Alligator mississippiensis: one gene and its partners. The protein of the gene in region 1 purifies or fractionates together with the protein of each later gene. This does not show direct contact. Links are inferred from orthologs where the notes say so. Each region holds a gene or a part of one and is shown in the gene's direction. Other genes may lie near its edges.

Region 1 (7,246 bases):
CCTCCTCTTCAATTTGCCCAAGGTAGGGGCGAGGACCACCTCCCTGGGAAGCTGGTTCCAGATTTTGGCCACCCTAACTGTAAAATCTTGCCTTCTGATCTCCAACCTAAACCTGTTCTCCATCAGTTTATGACCATTGTTCCCTGTCATCCCAGGTGGTGCTGGGGAGAAAAAAGCTCTGCCTATTTGATCCCCCCTGATGAGCTTGTAGGCAGCCACCAGGTCCTCCCTCAGCCTCCTCTTGCTGAGGCTGAACAGATTCAGGTCCTTCAGTCTCTCCTCATAGGGCCTGTCCTGCTGCCCTCTCACCAAGTGGGTGGCCCTCCTCTGAACCCTCTCCAGGCTGGCCACATCCCTTTTGAAGTGCGGCGCCCAGTACTGGACGCAGTACTCCAACTGCGGTCTGACCAAAGTCACATAGAGGGGGAGTATCACCTCTCTGGCTAGGACCAGGTCCAGCAAGGCATTACCCCTATTGGGGCTGTGCACTTCCTGGATAAGATGAAGGTTCTGTAATACAGCCAGGAACCTACGCGAGCAGTCAGACCTGGCTGTCTGCTCCTCCCAGCAAATGTCTGGGTAGTTTAGGTCACCCATGACAATAACATCCCTTGACCTAACCGCCTCCATAAGCTGACTGGAGAAGTCCTGGTCTAGCTCTTCCCCCTGGTTGGGTGGTCTGTAGTAGACACCCACTGTAAGGTCCCTTTCGCCACGTCTCCCTTGTAGTTTGAACATAGCTGTGCTGTATTTGTTGCAGCTGTTCTTTTATGATACCTGATCCTAAGCATACATTCCTTAAGTTTTGCAAATGGAGGTCTGTGTATTAAGGCCTAAACATGTATTACTGGGCCAGATATAACTCATTTTAACAGTGTAATGAGTTGCATTGTTGTCTTGGAAATTCCACCCTACAGATGGCAATGATGTTGAATTACTTCCTTTGATAATTCAAGTGATAATTATAACTTCATACCATAGGGTTGGCTTCTTTGTCAATATTATCTCTCACAAAAGGAAGGGAGAGGAGCGAGGGTACACTAACTTAGGTTTTGTTGGTTCTCTCGTCTTATTTTAGCAGTGGTATAAATCAAAATTAAAAACTCAGTTTGTATTGATATTACATTACAGAGAGCTAGAGATAATTAAAAAATAAACTGGGTTCTTTTTTCTTCTTTATGATGTGTGTAAAAGACCTGAAGGTAGGGAAGGAATTTTAAATTTTTTTTTGACTGTTTGGCCATTTTGTTTGACTGTCCTGAGTCCTAGAAATGCAAGTGCAAAAGTACAAACTGTAGCTCTACACCTTTATGCATGTGTATTATAATAATCAATGATGAGATCACAGGCTACTTTTAAAAAATGCACAACATATTTCATATATTTTCCAGTAGTGTTAGGTACCTGATTCAGATAAGCGCAAGTACAGGCTTATTCAGGGAAGCACTTTAGTTTATCAGTGCTTTAGATATGTAGGTATTGCAGGAGCACCCTTGTAAAAATGCCAGCCCCTGTTGCTAAACAGGAGACATAACATAACTAGGTTCATTTATTGCATCTCTCTAAAGCTCTGGTTTTGCTGGAATCATGCACATTCTTAGCTTTATGCTTTGAGAGTAGTTCTCCTTACAGAGTGCATAGTTAAGGAAGAGTATAAGCCTTTGCAGGATTATCATAAATGTGTGGTAGGTGAGGAGGCACAAAATTGTTACAAAGAATGATCTAGAAAAGAAAATATGCTAGACTATGATGATAATGGAATGGTTCTTTTAATTTTTTCTAAATCAACTTGTAAGTGTGAAGTTTTTTTTCTCACCCTCTTGAGCCTAGTTATCATCACTACTATGAAGATATGAGCGTAGTTATTTTATTTCTGATCCTCATACCAGAAACATACATTTATCCTGTTTCTGTGTTCCACTTGGCAGAGCACAACAGCTGATCTAAGACTGACATGATGCAATGTTAAATTATTGGAAAAACTAGGGTATAAAATAGATAGCATATGGACTTGGTTGTTCTAGTCTGTGATATTATGGGAACATTTTAAATGATTTGTTGAAATCCAATTTATTTTTAAACTACTTGTAGTTAAAGCACTTTATTGCTACATAGTTATCTGCTGTAGACATCTGTTAAAATCTTTACCCCTTAGAGAATTTTGTCTTGTTCTAGAAGCATAAATCACATTAGCTTCTTATAAGCTTTTCCATATATTAGAAAATGTTGGAGATGATTTAGCCCCCAAAGCTTGAGAATCAATTTGCAAACATGAAACCGAGCAGAACAAATGTAGGAAGCTATTTCAGAACATCAGTTAAACTTCATCAGCAAGTGACAGAAGTGACAGATACAAGACTACTTAGTATATAGAAGTGTTTCTACATTTCCCATTTAAACAAGTCTCTTTAAAGCCTGTGAAGTCTACCAGTGAAGTCCACCAATAAATAACAATGATGCCTTAAGACAAAACTACCAGGAACTTGGCTGGATTCAGGTAAAAGGCAACATAATGTATTATACATTGCAAAACAAAAATGAAAAATATCATTGACAGCCCTGCATATTCTACCTACAACAGGGGTGGGCAAAATGTGGCCTGTGGGCCATTCTATCCAGCCCATGGGGCCCCTAAAAAGTTTAGAAAATTAATATTTATCTGCCCCTGGCTGCCTGTCATGCGGCCCTCGATGGCTTGCCAAAACTCAGTAAGTGGCTCTCCGCCCAAAATAATTGTCCGCCCCAGCCTACAAACTACCACTGCCTTGAACCCACAGAGGCAGGCTCAGAAGCCTATTTAGTCATTTGTCAACATTTTGTTAACTATTTCACTGTTCATCATGGCATGTAAGAGAAGAGAAATCAAAGAACTGCACCATCCACTTGGAATGGAATTTAATGTGGATGCCTTTCCCCTGGCCTTTGAGAGAGAACTGGTGTCCTGTGACTCCTACTAGCATAACTAGTGGTGGCAGCAGGGCACCTGCCTTGAGCATTCACTTCGAGGAATTACCAAAACACCCCCATCCCCAGAGCCTTTGCTAGGGTAGGCAAACCCCAGGCACAGAAGCCTGGCAGGCCCCTGGGATTTTTGCTAAGGGAGGTACAGCTTCTGGCTCAGTAGTGTAGCGGGTGGGGGGGGTTGCGCACAAGGCACCGGGAGCAGCCCCTGGGCAGCCTGTGCTGTGGGGGCAGCCAGCACATGACATCCAGCTGCAGCTCCTTGGGGCTATCTCAGTACCTTGTTCACTGCCCAACCCCCTCCAGATACGTTCCTGGGCAAGGAGCTATACTTCCCATGGCAACGTGCCCTTGGGCGTACGCCGTTCTGCTCCCCCCCCCACACATACAGATTGGGTGCTGGCCTGCCCCCCATTTATCTTGCTGGGATCCTTTGACCCCAGCTGACTTGCTGCCCCTAGAGTGGGGGGCTGGACTCAAGATCTTCCAAGGTCCCCTCCAGCCCTAATGTCTATGAAATCTATGAAATCCTGCAAAGGCTTCTGGGCCTGGGCTGTGCTTGTCCTAGGAGACTCCCTCAGGGGGTCACTGGTGCCCCTGCTGTGGCTGGTGTGCGGGGAGCTTGCCCTTCAGCTACAGCAGCAGCTGACACCACAGCATGGGGAGGCTGGCGCAGGCAAGACACCCCTCAGCCCTGGTGCACCAGTTGCTGGCACTCCGCCCAGGGCACGGCAGGCACTTGTGACACCTCTGCTTGCTCCCATGTCACGTGTTGAGGCAACAGGCCATCACGGAGGACGTGTGAGGTCCACATGAGCCAGCACTACCCCAGCCACCCTGAAACCAGCTGCAGGCTATGTGCTTCCCTGGTGAGTGGGGCCTCTCCCTGCTCTGCTGCCTGCCTGCAGGCTCAGGAGCACGTTGCTTGCCCCCCCCCCCCATGCTTTCCACCAGGCCCCACCCCCTTCACGGCCAAACCACGCCCCCTTTGGGCACGAAACCCCACCCAGCAGACCAGGTCTGTCCCTGTAAACTGCGCATGCGCCGAACCATCTCCCCGTTTGCCACTGTGAATTGCTCATGCGTAGAACGATCCTCCCTCTCCCCTCCCTCGCGCGTGCGGACGCCCGCCCCGCCTTCTCTTTGCTGCGCATGCGTACGATCCCCATCCAGCCTCCCGCGAGCTCTCGCGAGAGGGGCAGTTGAGGCTGCACCCCAGACATCCGGGTAACTTCCTTGGAGGCCGGAGCCGAGATGGCGGTTGAGTCTCGCGTCACGCAGGAGGAGATCAAGAAGGAGCCGGAGAAGCCCATCGACCGCGAGAAGGTGCCGGCGGGGCCGGGCCGGGCGGGGCGGGGCGGAGAGGGGCCGCGGGCGGCATTGACGGGCTGTGCTCGCCTTGCAGACGTGCCCGTTGTTGCTGCGGGTCTTCACCACCAACAACGGACGGCACCACCGCATGGACGAGTTCTCGCGCGGCAACGTGCCCTCCAGCGAGCTGCAGATCTACACCTGGTGCGTGCCCCCCCGCGGCCCTGCCCGCCCCGCGCCGCCTGCTGCTGACTGGGAGTCCCCCCCCCTCCCCGCCTGTTCTCGGTTCAGGGGGGAGGGAAGGATCAGCGGGGGCTCGTTCTCGGGGCTGGCGCTGGAGCTGGGCAGGTGTATTGGAGCCCCCCACACCTGGGGGCTGGATAACCCCCTTCCACTCCCACCCCCCTCCCATTGTGGAAACAGCAAGGGGCTGGGAGGCGGTGCAGACAGATGTCACAGAAGACGCTCTGCCTTCAGATGTCTTTATCTGACCCCTCATGCAGCGAGGGTTCAGGTTTTTCCCCTTTTCGGCCATTTTCAAAGCAGTCTGCGGCCATGCGCTTGTGTTTGGTCACGGCTGTTGCCTGCTTTCTGTGTCCGCGTCGGATGAAGAGTGTCACTTGTGTCTGCGCTCTTAGAAGACGAGAGCTGTGTTAGGAGTCTTGTTAAGTGTCAGGGCTAAGCCCTCCTTGTTCATGGAGTTGGGGGGGAGGGAGGGAGGGTTGGTCAGTTGCACCTACCCTAGCAAAGACTGATGGGTTCCTTGTGCAAGTTGCCTGACATCTCTCTCTCTCTCCCTCTTTTTTTTAGTTATTTTTTTCACTTCCTTAGTCTCTCTTGTAAGGGTTTAAAAAACAATACAAAAATAAGTGGTTTTATTGCTGTCAGCTGAAGATCCCTTTGTGCTCTGTAGTGTATAAATGTATAAAACCAGGTCAGTGCCCTAAAGAACTGTGTTCTGAAGTAGACTAGAAAATGGGTAGAGAGGTCACGGCAGTTTGGAGCGGAGCCAGGGTTAGACCCCAGACTTTCTGAGTATGAGATCACTACATGTTTGGGGGGTGGGAGGGAGGGGATATCCTAGCAGGTGTTCTAGTTACTAGTGAGTACTCATCCTGGACATGTTTTGAATACTTTGAATGTTGAAAGGAAAATACTTCAAAACCCAAAATACTTAACCACGAAATGCTTCTTGTGTCATTTAAATACATAAAAGTATTGAGTTATGCAAGAGAGAGGTGTTTTTAGAGTTGTCTATGATTTAGACAAAAAGTCTCACAGATGACATTTTTAGTAAGTGTAAGATTTTTAAGAACTTCAAATAAAAAAAGAAACCCTCCCCACCTTAATGATTTTTTTTTCTTTTTAAAATCTAGGATGGATGCAACTTTAAAGGAGCTGACAAGTTTAGTGAAAGAAGTCTATCCAGAAGCACGGAAAAAGGGAACACATTTCAATTTTGCCATTGTTTTTACAGATCTCAAGAGACCTGGTTATAGGTAACTGACTGAAGTCTTATTTGCAGTAACAGTTTATGTTCCATGTTGTATGAGAGAAGTTCTTCATAGTAACAGAGTGCATGGCAATCGCTTGTTAATATTTGATTTTTTTTTTTCAGTTACTATTCCTGTTTCTCTTTTCTAAAACACTGAGAAGTGTTTGCCTAAAGATGTTGGTCACTAGATTATCTGCCACCCAGAATACGCGCCTGTAGATAGGAGTGGAAACAAAAAGGCTGTTTCTGGTAGTAAGGGTAGTAACTGTATCACCATCAAGAGTTTGCTCTTAGCACAAATTTATTTTTTTTAATTAAAACTGGATAGGGACAGTTTTTATATGAGCTCACCAGAAACTAGTTGAAAAAGCAGGGGCTTGGGTCCTGCTATATTTCTTGCATTTTCTTTACCACTTCTCTTGTGTCTAACTTGCCAGATACTTCAAGCTCTGACAGGGGAAAAGTTGATGCAACTTTATTTACTTATTTTATGTCTAGTGTTGTATCAGAGAAACAGCTAATACTGTATTAAGAAGGGAGGCAACGTCTTTGTATCCCACTAACTGAGGAAAAACTTAACAGTTCATCCCCTTCAGATCCTGTTTAGTCTGCAAATCTCTCTGACATTAAAAAGAGACTGACTTGCTCTTTTGTTGTGTAATGAAATGACGTTTCATATCTTCCCTTCAGGGTGAAAGAAATTGGCAGTACGATGTCGGGAAGAAAGGGCACAGATGATTCCATGACGCTGCAGTCTCAGAAATTCCAGATAGGGGACTACTTGGATATAGCAATTACGCCTCCAAATCGGGCACCACCCCCATCAAGCCGCATGCGACCATATTAAAGTGTCATTTTTTTGTAGATGACTGTATCTTCCAGTGGGTTTCACATGCTGTAGGAAACAGGCCTTTTTTATTACTATTGCTAAGCAAGATCTGAAAACACTTCTAAGCCTTGACAACAAGAGTTAAATAATTAATTTTACTGCGTGAGTTTAAAAGAAACAGTATCTGAATCTGCTTTGTTATCTCTTCTTTCCTAGCTGTTATGATATGAAAAGTGAATAGAAATGTTCAGTGTTTCAAGATTTATGTAAAATGTGACTGAGAGCTTAGAAGTGCTCTTACCATTCTGTTAAAAGCCATGTAGAGTGGAATAACATTATTATTGTTTTGAACATGTTTCTGAGTTTGAAGACTAGATCAGGCCTGATTTAATGGTGGTTGAGCTTGATTAAAAACAAACCGCTCACAGGAGAGAGAGTGCTTTTCTTGACTGACTTGCTACCTAGCAGCATGTGAACAGTGGCATCAGTGGGAGAATCCTTGTGTATGATTACTTTCCAGAAGTAAGTCTCCAAACAACATTTTGTTTGTTGTTTTTTTTTAAAGAGTAATTATCTTTCCTTATCATCAAAGCAAACACGACCTATAAAAGTCTAGTTTTACTAATGCACCTGCCCATTTTAAAGGAAAA
Region 2 (7,965 bases), on another chromosome or scaffold:
ATAGTCAAGCTGGCATAGAATTACATTACTCTGAAAATATTCTCTTCATGGTGTATCACGATGATTGCTGTTATCTCACAGAAATATGTATTTTTACTTAACGTATGAAAATGAATCATAGCAGAAAATGGACACTGCTAACAATGTTGGGAACGTTTTTGAAAGCCCACAAACAAGTTAAAAGCCTAAAGGCCTCATCCATTCACAACAGTTGTACCAATTTATATCTTCAACTCTAGTTGAAAGTCATGTAACCCCCCCTAGTGTGGACACAGTTAGGCTTGTAATAAAGGTACTAAAGTAGTGATTCTCATCTAGGGTGCCATGGTACCCTTGGGAGCCCTTCAAGGGTGCTGCAGGGTGCTGCACAATGTTAGCATCCTTTGTTTACAAACATGATTCACAAAATAAACCCAGAGATTTCTGGTAGAAATGCACAGTTGTGGTCTATTCTTTGCAACAGAAAAACTGCTCCATTATTTTTTCTGTAAAAAAAAGACTGAAAACTAAGCTGGCATTTTCTGAAAGGTCCCTCAAATCTATCCAAGGTGCCTCGAGTCTAAAAAAGTTGCAATCCACTGTACTAAGGGAAGGGAGATAATCTATGAGGGTGCTCCAGAAAATAACAGCAATTTCAAAATAAAACCATTTTGAATAAAGCAATTTGCGTGCAACAATCATTTATCGGACAGACTTTTCTACATCTTCTCTATGTATCGTAAACGACTGGTGCGTTTGACAACACTGCCATCAATATTCCCCACTACTGTGTAGTTTCCCACTTCATTGCAGACAACAGCTATTTCATCATTAGTTTCTGAAATGCCCTCCATACCACTAAAAGATGCACTGCATCCACCCTAAGGATTCTATGAATCATAGAATCATAGAAGTAGGGTCAGAAGGGACCTTGTAGATCTTCAAGTCTGACCCCCTGCCTGGGCAGGAGGAAAACTGGGCTCAAATGACCCCAGCCAGGTAGGCATCAAGCCTCTTCTTAAAGACCCCCAGGGTAGGAGCCAGGACCACCTCCCTTGGAAGTTGGTTCCAGATCCTAGCCGCCCTGTGAAGTAGTTCTTACGGATGTCTAATCTATACCTACTCTCCAACAACTTGTGGCCATTATTCCTTGTTCTCCTGGGGGGCACTAGGGGAAACAAGGTCTCCCCCAAACCCTTCTGGTCCCCCCTAGTGAGTTTATAGACGGTCACCAGGTCCCCCCCCAGCCTTCTCTTGTGAAGGCTGAACAGGTTCAGGTCCCGTAGCCTCTCATTGTAGGGTCTGCCCTGCTGTCCCCGGATCATGCGGGTGGCCCTCCTCTGGACCCTCTCAATGTTGTCCACATCCCTCTTGAAGTGGGGTGCCCAGAACTGGACACAGTACTCAAGCTGTGGCCTGACCAGTGTCGCGTAGAGGGGGAGGATCACTTCCTGGGCCCTACCTGAGATGCACGATAAGGTCCGGTTAGCCCTGCCAACCGTGACCTTGCATTGTCGGCCCATGTTCATCTTGGAGTCAATAATGACTCCAAGATCCCTTTCTGCCTCCGTGCTCTCAAGAAGGGAGTTTCCCATCTCATAAGTGTGCTGCTGGTTACTACTGCCCAAGTGCAGCACCCTGCACTTGTCCGTATTGAAACGCATCCTGTTTTTGTTAGCTCAACCCTGCAACCTATCCAGGTCTTGCTGCAGTCTTTCCCTCCCTACTAGCGTGCCCACCTCACCCCAAATTTTCGTATCATCAACAAATTTAAACAGGTTGCTTTTCACCCCGTCATCCAAATCACTGATAAAGACATTGAACAGTGCAGGCCCAAGGACCGAGCCCTGGGGGACCACACTGCCTACTTCCCCCCAGGTTGAATATGACCCATCCACCACCACCCTCTGAGTATGACCCTTCAGCCAATTTGCAATCCATCTGACTGTGTAGGCATCAATGCCACAGTTGCCTAGTTTTTTAATGAGGATGGGGTGGTCGACAGTGTCAAAGGCCTTGCTGAAGTCCAGAAAGACTACATCCACGGTGACACCTGCATCCAGTGCTTTTGTGACCTGATCGTAAAAGGCAATCAGGTTGGTCTGACATGACCTGCCCCTAATGAAACCGTGCTGGTTGCCCTTGAGCATCATCCCCAATGCCGGCCCATCACAGATGTGCTCCTTGATGATCTTCTCAAAGAGTTTCCCCAGGATTGAGGTAAGACTGATGGGCCTATAGTTGCCTGGGTCCTCCCTCCTCCCTTTTTTAAAGATGGGGACCACATTGGCTATCTTCCAATCATCTGGCACCTGGTCTGAGCACCACGAGTACTCGTAAAGCCGTGCCAAGGGCCCTGCAATAACCCTTGCTAGCTCCCTCAACACCCTGGGGTGGACAGCATCTGGACCTGCTGATTTGAACACGTGACTATACTGATTAAAAATCAAAAAGGTATCCTAAGTCAAATACTTAGATGGATAGGAAAGCTGTGTGCAAACCAAACCCAAGTCCCTCTGGCACACAAGTCATGTCTACACTAACTTTGCCCACTCTAGGCACCCCAGACCCCAAAGTGCAGCCATGTAGCTGCCTTGAAGCCAAGCTAAGAGCATGCCCAGCACCTCCTCAGGCTCCCTGTCTCAGGGATGCTTACTCAGGCACTGTTGTAGGATGGGATTTGGTGCGTGCCTAATGGAAAGGGCATGCTTCGTAGCTGATTACCCAGGCCCAACACAGAGGATGGGTAGATATGCCCTCAGGAACTCAAGTTCTACTGACTTCAGGAACTAAGACCCACATGTTGGTCAGTCGGGTGCCTAATTACCCTTGATGACCTGTGCCTAACTGCTAAACTTACTTCTGAAAATTAGTCTTGGGTTCTTAATGCATGATCCAGGCTCTTTTCTAAATTCCCCTTTTACGTTCAGAAGCATTTGTATTCAGGTCCACCGTTAAAAACCAGGGAGGGAATGACACACCAGAAAAATATACTAAAATGTATGCAAAAACCATCATCCAAATATCCACAAGCTGTACGATATATATTTTTTGCTTCTTCCCATTTCCTTCCCAATCTTTTCTCCCTTCCCCACAATTCCTTATGGAGCTTTCACATTATGCACCAACCTGACATGGTAAAAGATGCGTATAACAGCACACATGGCACATAATGAATGCAGAATGGAAGATGTCCCTTAAGAGAAACAGACCTTGTCAATATATTGGCGACTGCAATTAAATAGGCATTTAAAAAAAATAAATTGCTGGGACCAAATCAGGTGCCTTGAAAAGCTCTTGCAGAAATAAGGGACGTAAAAATAAAGGTCCCTCGGCTCTCCTAAACAATCAAGCAAACCTGTGTCTAGTTAGGAACGGATGAGCGCATCACATAAATTGTATAGTTTGCTTTTCATTGACTTAGGTGTCAGTTCCCTGTCAGGCTGATAGTTTAAGATGGAGTGACTGTATTGGCATGTAGATAAAGACAGGCAGCTTGGAAAGATACTTCCCTTAGATATACCATTTCCCCCATTTTGATCTAACCAAAATGTAGTGAACGCTTACGCTGGGAAAGAAGCTGAACAGACACTGCTCAAACCAGGAATAGGAGTACAGCTACTCCTTGCTTAACGTCGTAGTTACGTTCTTGACAAATGCGACTTTACATGAAACCATGTTAAGTGAATCCAGTTACGTCACAGTAGCTACCTACTAGCAGGTGGCAGCTGAATAACATTATAACCGAACATTGCACCACTTCAAACGAGTACGTTCTCTAACAGAGCAGCGATGTAATAACGAAACTACATTAACTGGGAAGACGTTAATTGAGGAGCACCTGTATAAGCAGCGCTATGAAATGTACACTTTGGTTTCTGCAGTAACCAGTCACCTAGAGACAGATCATTCTGCTCATTACCCCTCTTATTTCAGAGGGAAATTTACCTTCCTCTGCAAAAGAAACTCAGCGGTGAAGGGGGTGGCAAGCGGCAACCACCAGCAGCATCAGCAGCGCTTTTTGCAGGGGGTGCACCGCCGATCTCCGGGGGTGCGCGTGCCCCCGCGTGCCCCCCATGTGTCGCCAGTGAGCAGGGCACGAAAGGCACGGTGCGGCGGTCGAGATGGGTTTAGGAGAGCAAGGAAACCAGCACCCCAAGGCAACGAGCAGGGTGCACAAGGCACGGACGCGGTGCTGGAAATCGGCAGGGATCCCCTTCCCCTGCACAAATTTAATCTGGGAGGTTTCCAGAGCACCAACATGCTTGCATATATCTATTATTTGACTCCCATTATTTGACCCCCTGCCTTAGGAACTGGGAATAAGCAACCAACTTCAGCCTCATGGCAATGCAACAGGATTGCTGGCTTGGGCAGACTTCTCTCATGCCCAGAGCCGCTGCTGGATGTGGGGTCAGGAGGGAAATGCACCCCTTGCTCAGACTGAGGGGGGAACGTGGAGGCTGTTGCTTATCCCTGCCCCTCCCCCAGGCTCCCTTAGGGCACATAAAGCAGCCAGGCCCCCGCGCGGTGCATTGTGGGCCACGCCCCTCCTTGGCGCCAAGCTCCCCCGCCCTTTGCCCGCGCGTTGCATTATGGGCCCCCCTCCCCTCGGAGCTGAGCCGGATCTTCTTCACCGGGCCTCCTCACCGGATGTGACGGCTTCCGCCTCGCGAAGGGGCAAAGGAGTGCTTTTCACGCCCCAAAGGCCGGCTCTAGGCCGCACAATCCGCGGCGCGCGGCGCTCCGCCGAGCTCCACGGTAGCATTTGTCTAGGCGAAGCAATTGAAGGCAGGGACTACTTTCCCTGCAGGCGGCGCATGCGCGGTGCGAGCGGAGCGACACCGCGACGCAGTCCGAACGGGGTGAAGGAGTGCTTCGACCGGCGGCGGGATCCTTGCGCGCAGCAACACCGCGAGGGAGCGGCGGGCGCCATTTTGCAGCCGTGTTTGCAGCCGTCGCGCGCTCGCTCCTCTCGTCCGCTCCGTGCCCGGCGCTCGCCCGCTCGCTACCTTTTCTCTCTCTCTCTGCGCTCCGGCCCGCGCCCGCCGCAGCCATTGCTGACCTTGCCATGTCCGGAGGCGGCGTGATCCGCGGCCCCGCCGGTAACAACGACTGCCGCATTTACGTGGGCAACCTGCCGCCCGACATCCGCACCAAGGACATCGAGGACGTCTTTTACAAGTATGGCGCCATCCGCGACATCGACCTCAAGAACCGCCGCGGCGGCCCGCCCTTCGCCTTCGTCGAGTTCGAGGACCCGCGGTGAGGGCCGGGACCGCCCCCCCCCGCTATACCGCCCCCCCCTGCACGTGGCCTGGGACCCCCCCTACATGGTGCCTGGGACCCCCTCACAACCCCCCCCCCACGTGGTGCTTCGGACCCCCTTACTAAATTGTGCCCCTCCCCCCTGCATGGGGGCTGTTTCTGCCTGGACCCCCCCCAACCATGAGGTTGTTCCTGTTTTATTGCCCCCCCCCCAGGCATGGGGGGAGTTCTCACTTTGTTGCCCCCCCCCCAAGCATGGGGATGTTGCCATTTGCCCCCCCCCCCAATTGGGGCGTGGCCGGCGGGAAAGCAGTGTGGGGGGGGAACAAAGGGCGGGGGCGCGGCTGGGCAGGCCCCGCTCACCCCGCCCCGCTTCGCAGGGACGCGGAGGACGCGGTGTACGGACGGGACGGGTACGATTACGACGGGTATCGCCTGCGCGTGGAGTTCCCGCGGAGCGGCCGAGGCACCGGCAGAGGCGGTGGTGGCGGCGGAGGAGGCGGAGCCCCGCGGGGCAGGTACGGGCCCCCGTCCCGGCGCTCCGAGTACAGAGTCATCGTCTCGGGTAAGATCCCGCCCGTTCCCCGGCGGCCGTACGAGGGCGGGGCGAGGGGCGGCTTTCCCCCCGGGGACGCTGTTGAGCCACGCGGGATTGCGTTCCCCCGAGGAGCTTCGTTACGCAGCCCTCGCTTATTATTTATAGCACTCGAAAGCCTCCCCCGGGGGGTAATTTATTCAAATCACCTAGGCACCTGCTGTGCCCGGCCGCACGTAACGGCGCGGCTGGGTCATAAACAACCCCGTGGACGTCCCGGGTAATTTGCGACCTGTTTTTGTTCAGGACTGCCTCCAAGTGGGAGTTGGCAGGATTTGAAGGATCACATGCGTGAAGCAGGTGATGTATGTTATGCTGATGTTTTCCGAGATGGCACTGGTGTCGTGGAGTTTGTGCGGAAAGAAGATATGACCTACGCGGTGCGAAAACTGGATAACACTAAGTTTAGATCTCATGAGGTAGGTTCCCTGCTTATTTTGGGGCCAGAATTGGATACACAGGGCTTAACAATGGGAGCTGAAGGTAAGGAAGTGAAGGCTCAACTGTGTCAGCTGGCGCCCATAGAAAAAATGGAGTCTGATGTGGTTTATTGTAAGGCAGTCCTCGTTAGCACAAGAGAAACAGAGCAGCTTTTATTTAAAAGACTGTGTCTTACTTAATGTACTCAGCATGCCTGAAAAGACAGCTGAAAAGCTTAGACCCTTCAATCGAAAGTTGTGTCTATTTAATAGGGAGAAACTGCCTACATCCGTGTTAAAGTTGATGGCCCAAGAAGCCCAAGCTATGGAAGATCTCGGTCACGCAGCCGTAGTCGTAGCAGGAGCCGTAGTCGAAGCAACAGCAGAAGCCGCAGTTATTCCCCAAGAAGAAGCAGAGGATCTCCACGCTACTCTCCCCGTCACAGCAGATCTCGTTCTCGTACATAAATGACCATTAGCTATGATCTTTTTGTAGAACCCATGTTGTACACAATTTTCTTTACTCAGTACAGTCTTTTCATTTTTTTTTTTTAATTCAGACTGTTTTATTCAAATTGGCTAAAGTGTTGAATTGCATTCTTGTGTAAAATCCCTAGTGAGTATTTGCTCCTTAACATCAACATTCCCCCCTCATGTCTTTGGTAAATTGTATTTTAATTGATGTCATAGTCAGGATTGTTTAAATTTAGTTCTAGTAAATACCCACACTCTTCAGACTGTGGTATTGCTGTGTAAATGTCTCAGTGTTCAGCTATGGTTTATACGAGCTGGGGATGTTGGGATGTTTGTGGCTAACTTGTCTCTTCTGGGGGATCTTATATTTTACCTTGCCTTTTCATGTGTCTTTCTGTAGACATATCTGAAGAGATGGATTAAGAATGCTTTGGATTAAAGGATTGTGGAGCACATGTCAATCATTTTAGGATTGTCAAAAGGAGGATTGAGGAGGATCAGATCAATAATGGAGGCAATGGTATGACTCCAAGTGCTATTGTCACAGATGAAATTGGCAGTATTGACCTTATACTGAATGACAATGGTTAATTGAGTACTTACATCTACTTGTAACTTTTTCAGGCATGTTTTAGTTATTGTAGACTACAATTGCTCTGTTCCTTAAAACCCTGTTAGCAATTGTGGCAAAAACTACTTGCTTTTGTAACTTTATTCCATTTTACTTTTTTTAAAAGAACTTCCGGGGGTGGGCGTAGCGGTTCACTTTGTCATGCAGCATTTGGTTACAAGTGTTAACGTTGCGTAGTGTTTGTACACTTTGTAGATTCAGGGTATCTTCAAATCAGAGTATAATATCAATACTGCTAAAATCTGCATGTCCTCTGTGTGACTGATATAGCGTTGCTACTTCATTTTTTTTTTTAAGTATCAGAATGAAAGCAAAAATGAAACTAGTTGGGAAGAATTCCTTAAATCTCAACCCTTCCCCTTCAGACTAATGCACAATTGACTCACTGATATGTTTTGAAAGCAGTTAATTTTGTTACCCTCCAGATGGGAGTACTAGCTTTAGTTTAGACATACAGTAGGTGGATAGCTTTAGCAGTCAACTTTTCCAATTTCATAAACATTTTTTTTTACAACCACAAAACCTGTAATTCACCATGCAAGCAATGACTTATGTTGGCGCTACCAGTTAACATATGTAAATATTACAGTATTTCCTCC
Region 3 (7,108 bases), about 200 Mb from region 1:
GCCGCCCCTCCGCCTCGCGCTGACCCGCCTCGTCTTCCCAGCCCGCGCCTCTGGCTGTGCAGCTGCCCCCTGGCACGGCTGAGCCAGGATCCGGGCCGGGCACGGATCATAGAAACTTAGGGCTGGGAGGGACGTCAGGAAGTCATCAGTCCCACCCCCTGCTCAAAGCAGGACCATCCCCAGCTACATCATCCCAGCCAGGGCTTTGTCCAGCCAAATGAGAGATGCAAACACAACAGGTGTGTCCGCTGTCCCACGGCTAACGTGTTGTTTCCTTCTTTCTCCTGCATCTTTATTGACTCTTACATCTGATCTCCATCGACTGGAGGCCATCGGAGAATGGGGAGTTTCATGGCTATTGTAAGCCTGAGCTCATCCCCTGTTGGGGCACTGGTCTGCCATGCAGTGGAGGGAAGCACTGTTCCTACAGGAAGGTATGAGGCTGTGGAGTTACCTCCTCCTGCCTCTCTGGCTTTGTCCCCATGATTCTTTATTCCCAGTAATCCATGGATTGTAAACAGAGGTGGGAATAGGAGCTGCTGGGGTTGTGAGACCAGAGAGGGCCCAAGAACAGGCTAACCATTTATGAGATCCCTGGAAGCACGCCTCAGGTGAAAGGCATGACCTGAATTCCATTCAACAAAGGATTTCACCTGTGTGAAGCCCAATAACTTGGGTTTGTCTTCCAGAAAAGCATCCCACCCCAATCTGAAGATAAGAAACAAAGAACCCACTTTGTCCCGGAGGGTCCGCAACCTGTAAACTAGGATTTACAGCACATCAGGTCAGCCTTGGTGCATGTCCCCAAATGCACGTTAGTCTGGCTTGATGTGCATCAAGGTGCCACTTCTTAAGCAAGGCTTAATGCACATTAGCTTATTTGAATGCACAGGAAATAAAAAGCACAGGGCGCCTATACAGAGGCTGCTTCAATGCAGTGGAATTCCAGCACCTCAGAACAGACTTGATGAATCGAGTCTGGGCAGGGCCTGTTGCTGGAGCATGGCAACTGCTACACTTCAGCAGCACTGTACCTAGACTCCTGGCAGCTCTGGACGAACTTTCCCCCTTTGCAATAATAATTAAAAAATTACTGTTTTCAGGCCCCCTTTCTGTCCAGGCCCCAGGCGGCCACCCATTTTGCCCGAGCCCATAGGCAACTAGTAGGGCAAGCACAGGGGAGCACATGTCCCTGCTGCTGACACTGCCGGTGACTTCTGTGGGTGCTTGCCAGCTTTGTCCCTGCCACTGATGCCACTGGCAGCTTCTGCGGGTGCTCACCAGCTCCATCCCCGATGCTGATGCCGGCTCCTGCAGATGCTCGCCAGCTCCGTCCCCACCATCACCACCGCTGCCAGCTTCTGCAGGTGCTCCCCCAGACTTAGGAGGCACCAGTCGCCCATGTCCATGCCTGTGTCCAGCCCTGCACTCCAGCAGCCTCCTGCATCTCATGTATCAGTGTCCTGATGCTTAAAAATGGTGTTGGAACAAGCTTTAGTTCAAGCCCCCTTGACACTGTTTTTAAGCACAGGGATGCGATACAGAAGACACAGTAGCTATTGGAGCTGCTCTAATTAAAGTGCCATCTCCCCCACCAGAGCACATGTAAAGGTGACCACAGTTTTTATGTGATGCTTTATGTGCATTAAAATAGGCTAATGCACATTAAAGTGCACATGTAGGTGTAGATGTGCCCACTGAGTACCTTTTCTGGTCCTTCACAATTTGGGCCCGATCCAGTACACACCAAAGTCAAAGGAAAGACTCCTGGAGACATGGACAGCTCTTTCCTTTGAGACTAGCCAGAAACTGAGGAAGATATAATAGTCATCATGTGTCAAGGCCTGTGATGTTGAAACTAAAAATGGCAGGTACATTGTTCTACCAATAAAAAGCTCAGCCTATTTGGCATACCAAAAGGAGAATCTGCTGGCAGTCAGGATATTATGTTCAGGTTCACAATATGATCCCACCTGTGTCCCTGGGCTCTTCAGGCTTGGTCCCCACTCAGAGATACCTAAAGGCAGGGCAGGAATAAATCATGAACCAAGCAAGCCTGGGGCTGGTACCCAGCTCTTGGAGTCATCTGATGATGCTGGCAAAAGAGAAATAGACTGATAGGGCTCCCCGTATGGCTTCCAAAAATGAGAACCCCCCCAAAAGAATAGTTTCTAAAGCAGCAAGACCAGGCATGTCAGGCAAAAGTCCTTGGACTGTGTCTCTGCCAGAGAAGAGCAGGTTTGGATTCAAAGGACCCTAAAGCAGTGGTTCTCAACCTTTTTTGTACCAGGACCCATTTGTAAACATCAATGGCCAGTCTCTGCCCAGTGCCCTTCACTCCTGACCCACTTCCCCCTGCCCCCCAGTGTGTGGGGCAAGGGGTGTCTATGGAGCATGGGGAGCCCCAAACAGCCTGTTGCAGGCTGGAGCTCTGCCAGCCTGCAAGGGAAAAGGCACAGTTTCCTATGTTTTTCTCTTTTAAAGGAGAACCCATTTTTAAAGTTTGTTCGCAACCCTTTCAAATATTCTTTTGATCCACTTTTGGGTTGCGACCCATGGGTTGAGAAACACTGCCCTAAAGGACAATCTTTGTGCCCCACTTCTGAATTTTTCAAGCATGCTGGTCTAGGAACACTGTCTGCTCCTTTTCCCAATTGTACTTGTGTCTAGGCCTTTGGTCTTTTATTTGCTGGGAAGTTTCTTCCATCATTTCAAGCATCTGTGCATGCACCCTGAGAATCCCCCAGGCCAGGACTCTGTGGGGCACTTGCCTCTCTTCTTGTGGAACCCACCAGGTGCTACCAACACTCAGAGGAAACCAGCATATCCCACATGCATAATGCCAGAACTATTGAGCATTTTTACATGCGTTTCCACCCTGGCGCTGGGCGCTTTTAATTAGTGAGCCGTGCTAATTAAAAGCACCTGGTGCCACGTCAGGAGCACATGTATCAGCAGTGCAGCGTGCCTCTGCACTGAGAAAATAGCAGCAGTGCACTTTGAACTAAAGCACATTGAACGTGTTTTAATTCAAAGCGTACCGCCACCATTTTCTCAGCGCAGAGGCACGTTGCATGTGACACGCAAGGCTGCCAGAGCATGTCAATTTACATAAATTTGATCCAGCAGAGTTGATTAATTGAATCTATGCTGGCGTGCTGGATTTCCAGTGCATCGGAGCAGGCTCCTTGCACGTGTGTAAGTGCTCATTCTATCAGGCTACAGAGCATCTTGCAGGGCATGAACCTTTGGGCATAAATACACATGGGCGACTGGTGCCTCCTGAGTTGGGCGGGCACTTGCCCCCCCCTCCCCCCAGTGGCCAGTCAGCGACCTAAGTGGGGAATGCTGGCTGTGTGAGGGGTGCATGTGCACCCATTTGCGCCACTGTTTATACACATATTTTTCTGTCCCATGACCAGCTGGAGATCCACTGCTTCAGAGTCTGCTCTACAGGCGAGCTGAAGCAAACCGCGCTGCACCCTGTGCAGCTGTACAAGTGGTAAAATGTGCATCAGTGCACAGAAAATGGCAACGGAGAACTTTTGAACGAAAGCACCTCCAATGCGTTTAGTGCGCCACTGCCCTTTTCTCAGCGCTCACGCTCATTTTGCCACTTATACAACCTCAAGTGTTGCAGTGCTGGGCGCTTTTCAAAGTGCCCAGTGCTGCGGTGTTTGGATGTGTAAAATGCCCTTTGTGATTGGGGAATAATGGGAGACGAGGTTCTTTGGGTAAACACGATATTTTTTATTAGACCAACTAATGAATAAATATGAATTTATCAGGCCAACTAACGAACAATAAAATTTGTTTTTAATAATAATAAATGTTTTTCCCCCAGTTCATTGGGTAACAAAGCCACACAGGAGCCCCCTCCCCTGGCTGGCTGCCCGCACGGCAAGCCACCACGCTCCAAGCAGGACACCGGCCCCTTGCGGCAGTGAGGTCCGCGCCTGCGTCTGAGGAGCTGCTCAGAACTGCTGGCAAGAACGGAGAGTATGCGCGCATGCGCCAGCGCTGGGAGGCAGGGAAGGGCGTACGCTCCGTGCGGCTTGACGTTGCTACGCACGCACGCACGCACGTGAGGCGCCCAGTTCCCGGTCGGAGCGCGGAGGCCGCTGTCGGAGTGGCGACTATGTCGGGGGCGGCGGGCTCGGCGGGCTCGGCCCGCAAGCGGCTGATGAAGGAGGAAGACATGACCAAGGTGGAGTTCGAGACCAGCGAGGAGGTGGACGTCACGCCGACCTTCGACACCATGGGGCTGCGCGAGGACCTGCTGCGCGGCATCTACGCCTATGGTGCGCGGCTGGGGCAAGCCGGGGAGGGGGAGCAGAGGGCAGCGCGTGCCGGGCCGTGTGCGCACGCGCGGAGCTTCCCGGGCCCGCGCGCGCCCCGCTTCCGCCCTGCCGGGGAGCCGTCCTACCCCTGGCCCTAGCGATGTTTGACAACCCTTGATCCTCTCGGGTTATGGTGTATGCACGAGAGGTCGCCCAGAGGAGATTTGGGCTGGTCAGACCTTGCATCCCCCCCTTTAGGGCACTGAGACAGAATCCAAAGGTCAGACTGGGTTTAGGCGCTTGGTGCCTCTGTGACTGTATTTGTGTAAGCATCTGGGATTTGAACCCAGGTCTCCTGTATGGGTGATAAGGAGTCTATTACTGAACCACAGGGGCCTCCAACGGGAGGTGTAGGAAGACATCAAACAACATGGTGTCAAGTTTGTTCTTTCTAGAGAGCCCAATGTGGGGGAGCTATCCAAGAAGAGAGAAGAATGTGGACACAGTTTGCTGAGAGACAATGCAAGTTGCAATTCTAGGGTTTCTCTGGACATAGCAGCTAAATGATTGCAGTGCACTGCTATCCTGTGCACTTTTGTATCACTTTAAACTAGGCTAATATTGCTGCAGCTTGTTACATCTGCAGAAGTCAGCTGTGCTGAAGTGGGGCAGGTGCCCCTATGTACAAGTGTCCAGGCACCTTTGTACTGACCTAACCAAACTGGCTGAAAACCATCAAGTTAATGGAACAGTCCCTACGTCAGTGCTTCCCAAACTTTTTCTCAGCATGACCCCACTTATGACTCCATTTCCTCAGCATGGCCCCCCACTCCCAACCCAGATCCCTGTTTATTGCGACCCCATTTGCTGATGTTGCGACCGCATTTGGGGTCACGAACCACAGTTTGGGAACTGCTGCCCTACGTGCTTCTGAAAACCCACTTCTTACACTTGGCTTCACACATCAGCTTTCAAATTATTTGAAGCGCTACTTCTGTGCACCTGTGAGCAGGCATTTAAAAAGGTGTCTTATATTATTTCAAATGTTGCAGGTTTTGAGAAGCCATCGGCGATCCAACAGAGAGCAATCAAACAGATCATTAAAGGAAGAGATGTGATTGCACAGTAAGTGAAATTATGTGATTGAAGGAAGAAAATAATATAACATGTTTGTCTTTATAAAGTGGTAGAATGATGTACCCGTGATGATCCAGGAATTATGCAGGCGGCAAATTCTGATGAGAAGTGTCTTGTATTCAAAAGCTTGTCTAAATGTATTCCAACCATGCAGATGGGCCAATAAGATATCACCTACACAAAATCCTTGCCCCTCACATATCTTTATAAAGGTGCTCCACACAGGAAAGAATCAGTTGTTTATTTTTTTTAATATAAGTATTAAAGTATAACCAAGGAATAATATAACAGTTATGGATATGTTTTTTAGAACTCAGAGTTGCCTATTTTAACATTGTAGTTCAGTGATCTACAGCCTTTTTAAGGTGAAGATCACTCTTTGAAGTAAAGGGCAGTCCAGGATCTATTGTGCCCCACTCCCACCATCCTCCCACCCAGCAGGTCAGTCTGTAGGAGGAAGGGGGGTAGGGGGAGGCAGATCGAGGTCCCCACGGTGAGGGAGGGAGGGAGTGGGGCAGGAGGGAGTGGGGTTTCGGCTGGGCTGGGGAAGGGTTGGAGCATGGGTGGCTTGTCCAGGCACATAGTGGGGGTGTGCTGTTGCACTCGCCCCTATGGAGGCCCGGGGGTATGTGCCCCCCCCCGATCTGTGCACAGGGCGAGGTGGCTGCTGCTGCACACTGGGCTTTGTGCCCCAAGCTGCAGCAGGGCTCGGGGCACAAAGCCTAGCATGCAGCGGCTGCTGCCTCACCCTGCACACAGATCGTGGGAGCACATGCTCTCCGGGCCTCCATGGGGTGCATGCAGCAGAGGGAGACCCCCCGTGCGCCTGGATGAGCCACCCTGGGCTCTGACCCTCCCCCAGTACAGCCGGGGCTTCTGTCACCAGGTGGCAGGGGGTGCGGAGGAGGATTGTGTCACTCATCCAGCCTGGCCCCAATGACGGGGCATGGCTCAGCCCAGCCACATGCATCCTGCTGCTCCCCACGTGTGTCCCGCTCCTCCTTATTGCGGAGCCTCTGACAGTTGATCTTAGTCTGGGTGGGCTAGCAGCCACCCCCTCTTCCCCCCAGACTGAGATCAACTGTCAGGGACTTCCAGACCAACCAGTTGATTGCAATTGACTGTTTGGTGATCACTGTTATAGTTAATACATTTTTGGTAGTGTACACAAGCAGTCAGCAAGAAGATATATAGGATGCTTCACCACGGTGTTGTAAGGAATATGGCACAATAGTTAAATGCACTGTAAGTGTGAGAACTCATCCACATGTTAACTCCTGAAACTTGTTATAAATGCAAGCATTGGGGAAAGTAAGTGCAGTTGCATCCACAATATTAAATCCTTATTTTGATAAGCTCCCCACCCTGTTTTCAACTGTAGCTGACAAGCAGCTGAGATGGGCTTTGCAGTTGATCTTTTTTGTCAACCAGGCATATCTGGTGGCTTTAAGTTGAACTACATGAGGAGAAAAAGCTTGTTCTTCTCTCCTTGATAATGAGTCATTCATGGAGAAGTAGGGCTGGATGGGACCTCCAGAGGTCATCTAGTCCAACTCCGTGCCTGAGGCAGGATTATCTCTATCCAAACTATCCCATAGATTGATGGATTGAACACTCAACAGCTTTTTAAAAAATCTGCTTGTTTTTGTCTATAGGAGTTTATTGGCCCTGGGAGACTGACAAGCCTGTCC

Evidence for each region. Proteins that work in one complex are often made in the same cells at the same time.
Region 2: the proteins of SAP18 (region 1) and SRSF1 purify together in Homo sapiens (co-immunoprecipitation; 4 studies listed by BioGRID and IntAct, with this or other methods). This does not show direct contact. The link is inferred for Alligator mississippiensis from reciprocal best matches to the Homo sapiens genes SAP18 and SRSF1.
Region 3: the proteins of SAP18 (region 1) and EIF4A3 fractionate together in Homo sapiens (co-fractionation; 3 studies listed by BioGRID and IntAct, with this or other methods). This does not show direct contact. The link is inferred for Alligator mississippiensis from reciprocal best matches to the Homo sapiens genes SAP18 and EIF4A3.

The regions. Positions count from the first base shown.
Region 1 is NC_081824.1:433,379,528-433,386,773, reverse strand, and holds SAP18 (histone deacetylase complex subunit SAP18), read left to right. Parts: upstream 1-4,168; 5' UTR 4,169-4,215; coding exon 4,216-4,287; intron 4,288-4,366; coding exon 4,367-4,476; intron 4,477-5,648; coding exon 5,649-5,771; intron 5,772-6,457; coding exon 6,458-6,614; 3' UTR 6,615-7,026; downstream 7,027-7,246. UniProt on the Homo sapiens protein: Component of the SIN3-repressing complex. Enhances the ability of SIN3-HDAC1-mediated transcriptional repression. When tethered to the promoter, it can direct the formation of a repressive complex to core histone proteins.
Region 2 is NC_081837.1:6,053,406-6,061,370, forward strand, and holds the start of SRSF1 (serine/arginine-rich splicing factor 1), read left to right. Parts: upstream 1-4,927; 5' UTR 4,928-5,050; coding exon 5,051-5,244; intron 5,245-5,627; coding exon 5,628-5,812; intron 5,813-6,088; coding exon 6,089-6,261; intron 6,262-6,534; coding exon 6,535-6,729; 3' UTR 6,730-7,965. UniProt on the Homo sapiens protein: Plays a role in preventing exon skipping, ensuring the accuracy of splicing and regulating alternative splicing.
Region 3 is NC_081824.1:234,479,176-234,486,283, forward strand, and holds the start of EIF4A3 (eukaryotic initiation factor 4A-III), read left to right. Parts: upstream 1-4,070; 5' UTR 4,071-4,138; coding exon 4,139-4,301; intron 4,302-5,332; coding exon 5,333-5,405; intron 5,406-7,108. UniProt on the Homo sapiens protein: ATP-dependent RNA helicase. Involved in pre-mRNA splicing as component of the spliceosome. Core component of the splicing-dependent multiprotein exon junction complex (EJC) deposited at splice junctions on mRNAs.